2 linked regions of the Caenorhabditis elegans genome follow. The protein of the gene in region 1 purifies or fractionates together with the protein of each later gene. This does not show direct contact. Each region holds a gene or a part of one and is shown on either strand. Other genes may lie near its edges. The genes, in order: F54F2.9 and C01G10.1.

The links.
Region 2: the proteins of F54F2.9 (region 1) and C01G10.1 fractionate together in Caenorhabditis elegans (co-fractionation; one large-scale study listed by BioGRID). This does not show direct contact.

Annotation. Positions count from the first base shown.
Region 1 is NC_003281.10:8,824,421-8,829,077, forward strand, and holds F54F2.9 (DnaJ homolog subfamily C member 1), read right to left. Parts: upstream 2,809-4,657; 5' UTR 2,808-2,808; coding exon 2,467-2,807; intron 2,042-2,466; coding exon 1,557-2,041; intron 1,497-1,556; coding exon 1,187-1,496; intron 1,044-1,186; coding exon 935-1,043; 3' UTR 806-934; downstream 1-805. Other genes in the region: Integrin alpha pat-2, read left to right, coding at 412-558; F44E2.3 (uncharacterized protein), read right to left, coding at 3,077-3,238, 3,625-3,708, 3,777-3,914, 3,963-4,083, 4,591-4,657.
Region 2 is NC_003283.11:15,097,989-15,105,128, reverse strand, and holds C01G10.1 (BRCT domain-containing protein), read right to left. Parts: upstream 5,383-7,140; 5' UTR 5,239-5,382; intron 5,194-5,238; 5' UTR 5,168-5,193; coding exon 5,107-5,167; intron 4,762-5,106; coding exon 3,129-4,761; intron 3,083-3,128; coding exon 2,962-3,082; intron 2,919-2,961; coding exon 2,504-2,918; intron 2,434-2,503; coding exon 2,063-2,433; intron 2,015-2,062; coding exon 1,900-2,014; intron 1,855-1,899; coding exon 1,630-1,854; intron 1,580-1,629; coding exon 1,479-1,579; intron 1,431-1,478; coding exon 1,115-1,430; intron 1,066-1,114; coding exon 926-1,065; intron 884-925; coding exon 740-883; 3' UTR 724-739; downstream 1-723.

The sequences.
Region 1 (4,657 bases):
ATATTGGCTTGCAAGTTAAATTAAAGTTCTTTCGCCAACTTTCATGCTTACTTGTGACGCAGCAAAAATTATATCTTAATTTCCAATTTTGTGAAGCGGTTTCTCAAAGCCTCATTGATTTATTCGGATGGGCCTCGCCGCGAGAAAAGTTTATGGTTCAAACTCTGCCATTTTCGAAAGGTAAAAAATGATTGTCACAAAGATTAAGAAAAACTGAATTTAAAAGAAGTTGCCTACGACATTAAAGCTGTGCTCACACGCTTTCGAAAATTTCACAGCAACGTCCACGGCGAGCTTACGTCGGGGGTACTGTAGAATATAGGTAGATCAGAGCGACTACAGTATACAACCAATTTCGAAACAAATTTACAGTTTCCCTCAGAAAATAAATAATAATAATCTAATTTTCAGTGTGGTTTCTTCAAACGTAATCGTCCACCAACTGAGCATGCAGAACTCCGTGCCGACCGTCAACCAAATGCTCAATACGCTGATAGTCAATCCCGTTATACATCACAAGATCAGTACAATCAGGGACGTCACGGACAAATGCTATAATATTTTCCATTTTTTGTTCCTTATTCTTTACTATTCACATCTGCGGGTGTCTTTTTAAAATTATCATTTTGGTCCCAATTTAGTCCTCTTGTCGTGCCTTGCCCCCCAATCTTACTTTCATGTTCGATCGTTTTTCGGAATCTCCGCTCAATTTGGTGCTTTATATGTTCATATTATGTTTCTTTGTTTTCCAATTAATTACCAATACATTGACATGTTTCTAGTCGATATTTTTGATGTTTTTTCTTTTATTATCATCAATTTATTAATAAAAATTTAATAAATAAATAAATATTTAAAACGCGTCTAAAACAATAAATTTTGGAATTTCATCAAACCCGACCAACAAAAAAACGGAATAAATATTATGACAAAACTAGGTATCATTGGTTTTCTTTTTTCGAATCATCTCAGCCAATTGCTTGAATCTGACCATCACTTGTTTCTTCGTTTTGCTTCCAATTTCTTCGGAGATTCTTTCCCACCTGAAATTTAATATTTAAAACATTCCTCTGGATATTATATTATGGGGACCCAGAAATTTTACCGTCAATACCTAACGAAACCCAACGCTTGGAGGATGAGCGTTCTCAATTTCAAAATACCCATTTCTAGTTTCCAAGCTAACCTTTCATCAGTTCCCTTTGGATATTTCTGCAATGCGGTTTCAAAAGCCTTCTGCTCAGCTTGACTCCAATCATCTTCTGATTTCTCTTCAACTGGTACTGATTGTTGAATAGTTGTCATCAACAATTTCGTATAATCCTCTTGCTTCATCTGTTTCATTTTTCCAGCCATTGCAATAACGTCTTCTGCACTTCTATTCAAAACTCGACCCATTTGTTCCCAACGATTCGGTGTTCCAGCCGGGTATTTTTCAGTGCTCAGTCGAACCAGACTAGCTAATTCATCAGGCGTCCATGTTGCTCCAGATTGTTCTGAAATTAAAAGATCATTGAGTAGAGTTCAGAAACCTTTTTTCTGATAAATTAACTTACTCTGTGCTACAACTTCATTTTCTGCTGCATACTTTTTCTCCATCTCAGGATCATTTGTGGAAACTGCTTTCATACCTTGAGCCACTTCAAATTTAAACTCTAGTTGCTGGGGTGCCGCTGCTGCTCTTTGTTGCCTTCTCTGTTGAGCCAACTCCTCTTCTGTTGGTTCTTCAGGTTCAACTTCTTTAGGTGTCATAGCATCTTTAGCAGTCAATGCCAAGTTTTTGAAGAGGGTTACTGTACCTCTAGCAAGAATAATTGGAAGAAGTTCTGAATATTTTGGAAGATACTCTTCAAGTGCTTGTTTCATCAATTTTTCTGCTTCCGCTGGATCTTCTTTTTTCGATTTTCGCGATTTTTTCACATTTTGTTTGTAGACAAGAGTTTTCTCGAAATATGCCGCCCACATCATCAGGTAATGAGCGATAGTTCCGATAAAAAGAAGCACAAGGATTCCTTCATACCATGCAAGTTTTCGCATTCGTCTGGAAAAAATTATTTATAAAACACTATTTTAAAAAAATCCGAATTATTTCAGTTAACCATGTGATATGGAATATGGTGGAATGGGAAGGAAAATATTTTGGTATTTCTGCCAATTTTTAAGACTAACACATTGCATTTTATTTCTGAATTTGATCAGATTTAAGATTGTCACGCAACTTTTATTGGGCAAACCTAGTTACTTTTTTTTTGAAACCATCGCAAAACGTATAATAGCAATGGGGATTTTTTTAAACTATTTATATGATTAATTGGAAAACTCATTCAAATTTTAAGAATATATTTACAGTCAAAAAGCATAATTTTTTAAGAAAAACAATAACAATCTTATGTAGTTTTCTCGTATTTTTCTGTACATTTTTTTTCCAATTTTCAAAAATAAAAACCACTATGTGAATTCCCTCACCTATAGTAATACATAGGATGCCTCCACGAAGGTAACCCATTTTCCAGAACATTATCATATTTTTCACGAAGTTCTGTAGTCTTCAAAACTTCATAGATTCCAGCAACTTGACGAAACTTTTCCGTAGCATCAGGCGCAGAATTCCTATCCGGATGCCATTCAAGTGTCAATTTTCGATATGCTTTCTTTACTTGATTCGACGAGGCATCTCGTGGAATATCGAACCACTCGTAGAAATTAACTCCGACTTCTTCCACTAAATCATATAGAGCCAAATCTTCTGATGTCCATTGACATTCTGTTAAGGATATTAGGAAGGCAAGGAGAAGGATGACCCGCATTCTGCAATAAATATTTCAGAAAATTCAACCAAATTTTTTTAATCTATAAAAATTAGAGATTTAAACGATTTACGTATACATTTTTATTATTGGACCAACAAAAAATAATAAATAACAAAGTTTTTTATTTGGTTTTACGAAATTTTGAAGCGAAGACAATTAAATTTTAAAGTGGCTTCATTAAACAAAAAATAATAAACTCTGAAAGAAGTGAGTGAAGAGATCGGCGAGGTAAAGTCAGGTGCACAGGCGATTTGTTCATCTTGTGCTCATTTCCCAAATTTGAATTTAATCGGAGCCCGAGAGTTGCCTGATTTGTTCAATATCGCCTGCTGCTCATTCTTTTTCATGTCCGATTTCTGACGTGCAAGTTCAGCACGATCTCGTTCCAATTGGCTCTTTTGCTCAAGCATTGCCAAACGATCTTCCTCCTGAAATGAATAACTGTTAAATTAGGTCGAAGTGCGGAAATTTGATTTAATTTAAACTAATAAAATCTAAAATTGATTGTGACTCGCGTTGAAGATGAAGATGATATCCTTGCACAAATACCTGCTAGACGGGGGGCCGAATCATCAGCGACGACATGTCCTTTCGTTTGTTGGCACACAAAATTGTATAAATCAAAGAGGAAATGGAATTAATTGAGGAGAAAAAGAGAGAAAAATTAAGAAAAATGTTCAAGACGAGAAATAGATATTTGATATCTTATAAGCTGCTGAAAAGATGTAGAAAAATGAATAGAATCCGGCAGATTTCGTAGATCTTTCGTATAATTGGAATATTTGCATTCTTGAAGTTGGAGGAGACAACTTACAAATTTCTTGCGACTTTCTTCAGCTTCCAGAACTTTTCTTTCTAGTTCTGCTTCCAATTGTTTGCACTTTTTACGAGATTCTTCCTGAAAACTGGTAACATTAACCTTTGTAGAGGAGAGGAAATGTTTTATAAAGTAGAAAAAAAACTAACATCCCGTTTCTTGCATTCCGCCAATTCTACTGCCATTTCTGCTTCGATTTGAGCTCTCAACATCTTTTCCATCTCATTTCTTGCCGATGTCGCTTTTTCAGCCATCATTGCTTCCAGTTGATGTACACGAGCCGATACCTGAACCATATGCTTTTAAAACGACAAAATTGGAAAGAAATTAATTACCTGCTCAACAATCTTCTCTTCCAGCCATTTTTTAGTTGGTTCGTTCAAAGTGCTCACGTCGAATGGGATGCTTGTGTCAACTGGGGGATCCGACGGTGGTGGTGGAGGAGGAGGTGGAAGTCTTAACGAAAAACAGGTTATAAACTATCTTCAAACTGGATTTTAAAACTTTAACATGATATGTTCATGGAGATAGTAGTTTTTCTCACTTGACAATTATTATAACTTACCACCTAAACTCGAAATTTTGCGATTTTCATTAAAAATACGCTGTCTGGTCTTGAAGTGACCGATTTTCAAAAATGCAAAAGTGTGTGCGCCTTTAAGGAGTACTGTAGTTTACAACTTCTTCTCATTTCCACTGAATTTAACTTGAAATTTATTTGTTTTTATTGCTTTTTCTCATATTTTCAAAAAATGAAATATTTTTCAATCGAAAAACTATGAAAAATCACCTAAAAGCTTGTTTGAATTGAATAAAATCGATCGCTTCGATACCAAAAAGAAAAAACAATAATCTTTTATAAACAAATAATTGTCTAACTTCAAAAAGTGTGATTTTTTGAAATATGAAAATTATTTGAGTTTCCGTATTCTGGAGAAATATCGATTAAAGTTGAAATCTTACTTTGGAGATTCATTTCTCTCTCGTCGACGTCTCTCTTCTCTGAAAATACTTCCCAATTGATGTGGTT
Region 2 (7,140 bases), on another chromosome or scaffold:
TTTTGTGTCTCATTTCAATACTGTATCATGACTTTCTGCAGCTACCAATTGTATCACGATATGGAAGAGAAACTAAGCCTCTTATCGGGAGAAGTTCGAAAATTGCATCTCCAAATATTCAAAACTCTGTTGCTTCAGGTAGCTTCTATTTTTTAAAATCTGAAATTTAGTATGCCTACTGGAATATTTTTGGGTATATTCGCGCTTTATCCAGCATTAGACGCATGTATTCTGATGTACGTCATCACAGACTACAGAAGAGCCTTAAAAGGTATACTAGAACTGAAAATCTTGTTAAATGTTTTTTTTTCAGATGTTCTGAAGTTTTTCAATCCGATAAACAGGACAGCTGCTGACAACGTCTCTGTAGCTCCTCATCTTTCTACAAATAATTTTACAATCTGACAAATAACTCATGGAACCTAAGTTCTGAATTTGTATTTGGCTGCTTCAATTTGTTTTCTATTTTCTTGATTGCTCTTAATAAATCTTGAATAAATTCTCGTTTTCAAATAGATAGCAAAATTCAAGCAGAAAAAATTCTGAAAATAATATTTATGCATGTACAGTTACGATCTTCTCGTGGAGAAACTGTGTTCATGTTTTAATTTCCATAATGAGTGGACCACATAGCTAGAAAAAACTGGGCCTAAAGATGTGCCTGCAACAACTGCAGTAATATCAATAAACAACTGCAGTAATATCAATAAACAACTGCAGTAATATCAATAAAGAATCTTTATTTCTCATCTTTCAGAACACTAATCGGAGTTTCACTAATATCTTTGACAATATCTCGTTTGAGCATAAACTTTATGAATTCTTCTTCAGTGAACAGTGTGTACATCTTGTCCGGATCAGATTTGTAGACGCTCAAGTTTATCTGAAAAAAATTGTTTCACAGTTAAACGGTCAAAATACAAACCTTTCCATCGTGAATCAAAAACAAAGGTCCAAGATTTGCATGGTTGTATGGGTGAGATCCAACATTGAAGAGCTCCTTTCTTGGAAAAACTTCCATCATGACACCACCGTGGATTGCGACAAGTGAATTCAATTTCAGCACTGAAAAATTATAAAATGACCTTCAAAGGATTGAATCGAAATTGCTCACAATTCTTGCATTCCACCATGACAACCGCTGAGTATACTCCATACAAATATGGAATGGCTCCTTTTGCCATGGCTTCACTCCATTGAAGAACTGTATTGTAATATGATCCCTTGTATTTAACTTTTTCCACCAAATATTTTGAATCCTGTTCGATAACTGTCTCATTTTCCAAACAATCCACCATCCACTGTTCTTTGACAATAATCGCACCATTGAATACCCAAAGTAGTAGATCGAGACTATCAGTTTCCAGAGCTCCGTTCTCATCTGTCTTCACAATGACATGTGTAGTGTTTGAATTAGCTTCATCAGATGTCTGAAATATGATTTAAATAAGAAGTTTTTGGTGCAAAGAATAACTCACAATAGCTTGAAACTTCTCCATAAATTGGTTGGTTATGTTGATGTCGGTTCTTTCGTCTATCCAAATATGAAATGATGTGGTTGGAAACTTCTGTGGAACATCTCAAAATTTTCAATTTTATTTAGCTTATCACAAGACATTTGATGCTTACTCATTTTGTGCTTCTTCCCATTTGCTTTTTTGTACAATGCTCGAATCTTGTCAAAATTTTCAACCTTGTCCTTTGGAATGTCTTTATATACGAGTGGGATCATCTGCTCCGGAGTTCGATTCATCGTATTCAGCAGTTCCCGATCAGCTCCATTTTTAATGAGAAGCTTTACAATTTCAGGTAGAGCGGACTTGGTTGCAGTGTGCAGAGCGGTATTTCCGAACTCTGAATATAGCTTTTTCGTCTAAATTAGATCTTCTTGAATCTTACTGTTAAATGCATTTATGTAGGATCCTGCCTTTACAGCATTCACCGCATTTGTTTTGTTAATTTCCCGTACTGCATCCAACAAGGTGTTCTTTCCATCCTGATTGTCAAGGAAAAGCTGGAAAATGTTGATTCAAAAAATGTAGATTTAACATGAGAAGCTTACAGAATATCTCCACCTGTTCTCATAATGAACTGGTTTTCCAACATAATATAAATACAAATTTGTATACTTTGACCTTCCATTTTGAGTAAACCCGTAGGCAACAATACAAATGAGACCAATCAATATCATCACACCAATGCAAATAATAATGATGTATATCCAAGAAAGTTGATTATCAACCGCAATTGTAACGATATCAAGCTTCTTGTTGCCAAATATCTCATCAAAATAGGTCATCAAGGAAGAAATTGTGATTTCAGCTCCTTTGAGTATAGCCTCGTGCCGTGCGAAATCTAGATCCAAGTTTTTTATAGACTCGAAATACTTTGCAGCTTCTTGCTTCTCCAGCTTGCTAGACTTCTTCAATAATCCTGAAAGTTCAATGTTTTTTACTCGGTAAGAATTCTAAAAACTATTTTTTTTTCCATTTTAACTACTTACTGAATAGTCTATATAAATCCTTAGGATCTCCACGGATACCATTGATTTTTGAGGCATCATCGAACACTTTGACCATCTCTGATAAATTCCCATTTTTCCTCAACATCTTTGATTTTGCATCAAGAGCATCAATCTTTTGGAGCATTACTTGGAGTTTTTGCTCCGGATCCAGCCATTCACGGAGTCCCATTCCCGAAATTGTCTTCAAAACTTGTACAGGGAAATCTGGGTAATTCGAAAGAAGCTGGTGATTTTGTCGTGCTTCTTCAAGATCTTCTAACACGTGCGCACATGTTCCGAGACTCGCAGTAAAAAGTTCAGGGGTCTTCAATTTCAGAACAAGATTGTGACTGGAATTCGACTGAGATGTGATCAACTTGATTTGTTTTTCCACTTTCCAAAGTTGGTTCTTAACCTGAAATTTATAAATAAAAGCAATGAAGTTATTATTTACTAACCTTGGCTAGCTCATCGAGGTACTGGTTCATTTTCAGCACCGTCTTATTTCCAGCAAACTGTCGAACAGTAATCATTGCTTCAATTACCTCCAATACTCGAAGCGGTTGCATGAACTCTTGACTGCAATTTTTAAATATTTTTTGGGCATAGACATAATAATATTAACCTCAAACATTTCGATATTCCCCTCAATTGTGACGTGTCCAACATTTCGACAAGCAGTTTGTCTATTTTAGTGTCGTTTGGTAAAGATTTATTTGTGATCACTTTAATATTTTTTAAGTTTTGTGAAAGATGTGTCATGAAGTTGTGAAAATCAACCTCCCTTTTATCTATCTGATCAATGATGATTTTGAGACGAGTCTTCACCCTCAACGAATTGGTTTTGTTCACTTTTTGTTTTTCGATTTCATTGCTTAGCTTCTTGTAGTATTCGTCAAAAAACGATTTTATGGTGCGGTTGGGGCGTATGGTTAAGATTGAGTTTATATTGATATACGAGACCTGTTTTCTGATTTGGGCCAAATATTTCATATAATTTGTAGCTGGTGATATAGCTTGTTGAAAGTCTTGAATCATTTCCTGAAGGGAAGAGTTGGGTGTCTCCAAAGAAGTAACAGAAAAATTCGAAAAGCACTCCGATAATTTGTTACTCGCGTTTTGAATAATTGACTCATAATTTGCAAAGTTAAGGGACATTTTCGAAATAACGTCAAGAATAGGTCCTGCTTTTGCAACTTCTGAGGACTCAAAATCCAAGGTGAGAGCAGTGAAATTGTGCCAAGAAGTATCGAGTGAAGTGACGGCTTCCGAAATGTCATGGAATATCTTTAGTGCATGGTTCAGGTCCTTTGTTTTCGATTCTTTAGCAATATTTCTTCTGAACCAAGGGCTACTCAAATCCTTGGAGATTTTAGAGAAATCTCTTGAGCTTCTGAAGCCCGCACTGTATTTTAGAACTGGTTTTGTTGGCGCAATGTGATGTTTAATGATTTCAAACAGAGAACGGTTGAGTTGAGTCATAACCTGGGCATGGTAATTAGGATGTACACTCTTCCATAAAGATTTTGTCGCTTTCAGACTTGAAAGAACCCGGAAAAGCGTTGCATTTGTAGCTCGCAATGAGTCGCTTAATGCATCAAATTTTGCAACCAACCGTATAATATCTTCCCATTTTCTAATCATTTCAAGTCCACCCCATATCGGTAAAGCATCAAGCTCAGCCTGCAACTGTGGGAAATAGTTTAGGCAGTCGGAAAAATTTGGTTTGTTAGCGACAAATGTATCAGCGAAGCCCGGGAAATCATTTGTGGCGTATTCCGACAATTCGTTGTTGATAGAGTCCCAAAAACTTTTGAAATTATCCGTATCCACTTGTGAGCAACTACTCCTGAACATCGAGTTGTTTGCAATTATTGTCGTTAGATTGTTCATTAGGTTCTTGATAGGGTACTTGATGGCATCCAAGAAGGTAGACGTTTGTTGAGAAAAGAGTGATAGAAACTTCAAATTGTTTTTCAAATCGGTCATGTTATCACCAACCAGACTATTCGTATCATTTTGAAGCAATAGAGACAACTTCTCGAATTCTTCACCCATTCTATTCAACTCCGTACGTGCCACTTTGATGTCGACATCTATGATGTTGTTGAACTGGTCTCTTGGCATCCGAATCAGCTCTACCAGTAGATCACGAACTTTGATATTCTTCCTGATAGCACCTGCTTGGAGGGAAATCGCATTGGTCACACGAGATAGGATACGGAAGTCTTCGCTGATGAGTTGGAGATTTGACGGGGCTGAAAAATGGTTTCCGTTGTGGAAGAGATACATGTAGGCGAGTAGGCAGGCATGTAGGTGTGGGTAAAGACTGTGGAAAATTCAAAACTAACAGCCACGTGTGTTAATGACACTTTTCACTCATTATTCTGAATTTTCACGTAAGTTCTTCTACTTTTAGTATTTTATATTTCGTTTTTTTGCTACATGGATTTCGTATTTACATGTTGGCTTTTTTTCAAATTAAAGCAATGCAAGAAGACACTCTTAAGATAAAAATCGACTCTTTCAAAAATGAACAAAGTATTAGTTTATAAACCCTTAATAATAGTTTACGCGCGAGCTATTTCCCTCTTCCAACTCACCACTTCCGGCTGTAACTAGAAATGCTCCTAGAATTCCGATGCCAAAATAATAAGTAATCATAAGTCCACAATTGCAATACTTTTTATCTGAAATACTGCCGTTACAGCCTGAAAGTATGAAAAACGACTTACCGAAAGATGCTTATTTTTAAAGACTGTAGACAATGAATAGATTTTGCGAGAAGATATGGTCTTCCGCCTGAGCAATGATTGATTTGAGCAGATTTGATTATCAGATAAAAATGTTGAAACAAACGAATTGGAGGTTCACGTAATAAAAATAAATCGAAATTTGTTTTATGTTGTTCATGCATTTTTCTTTTTGTTTTTCAATAAACTTTTTGAATATAATAGTTTTCCTTTTTTGAAGGTTTTGGTTTTCATTGGTTTTTAATTATTAAAAATTAACGAAAATACAGAGTAAGGGAAATGTTGAAATCAATTACATGAATAGATTAATTGCTGGTTTTATGATCTTGTAGATGGTGGTGGTAGATTAGAAATAGCTCTTCTGTCATCACACTTCACAGCAATAGACTCCAATGGGCTCACTTTCCGGAGAACTTTATTTTTCATTGGGGACAGTCGATTGTTGAACATCATCATAATGAATCTAAATTCATATTCATTACTAACTCGAATTTCAGCTACATGTGAAAATTTTTTGGAACCTGTAGCGGCTCAGATTCTGTAGAACAATTTTTGAAAAATACCTAACAGACCCATAAAATGCCAGCCGCGTCAACATTTTCCATATGTTGATTTAAAAAAATACAGTGAATGTGTACGAAAATTTGAAAACCCACGGCTCGCAGGTAATGTAAACGCTTGAAAGCTTGACTTTTTGCTTGACGCCTTAAAAATGTTTCAAAAAAAAAAGTTTTACATATATAATAGTTCGGAAAAACTACTTTAAAAAATGTTCTTGAAAGCTTGAAAAGCTTGAAAATCTGATCTTGTGCCCGATTTACACTGCTGATCGTAATACATTGTGCCCGATCTACGAATTAACTGTGTCTGAATCCACTCACCCATCAAGAACATGAACGAATTGCAACACAAATGTTTGGCAGAAGAATGTCCAGATTCTATGATCAAAAAGGTTACTGGAATTGAAGTTATATTTTGAGTTGAAGCTGAAATTGTTCCAGTGACTTACTCGAGCTGAGAAAACAAGACCGTGATTGAAAACAACGAGTCTTGAAGAAAACAAACGAGTCTGAAGAAACTGTAACACATTTTTCCGTGCTTTTCTCCGGTGTTGAGATCCGCGGATTGTCTTTTTCTTCTGAAACATAGAGCCAAATTTGTTTTATAGTTCTAAGAAAATATTCTAAAAACATTCCCTACCATATAATGAAACAGAATGTATGTGACTGCGTTTATTGAAAGTGGGAAAACAATTAAAGCAACAGCCCATAATTGCATATGCTCAGGTGTAGACAAAAGCCCGATATACGCCAAATGCTCATTGGAAAAAAGCATAAAATTTGAATTTTCTGAAATTACAAAAAAATGGTTTTAAACGTAACCATGAAATCAGTACCACTTCTACTCAAGTGTTCCGTAGCCACATTCCAGATGCGGTTTATATAATAAAGAATATGCAATACCAATGTCAGTTTCAAACCCCATAGCCAACTAAATTTTAAAGGAAATAGCATAACGAAAAATCGATTGAAGGATAAGTAGACACTTTGAAATTCGTTGAAAACTAGCATATTCGTACCAAACGTCACAAGAATGCTTTCAACAGCTGGAGAGTAAAATGAGTACCCACTGAAAACAGAAGAAGAAAAAATTAAAACATGAGCAATAAAATCCAATATGATGCCTAATAAGAATGTCTTCCCAATAAAATATCTTCCTGAGAAATTTCGTTTTAATTTAAGAATTCATTTCTGAAAGTTAGAAAAGATGCTTATGATATATGTACCTCTGAAGTTAATTTTGAAAGCCTTCATTTTTATGTTTTTTTTTCCAAATTTTAAATAAAACGTCAAAAAACGTTTGCCTCTTTTTCGAATCATACTC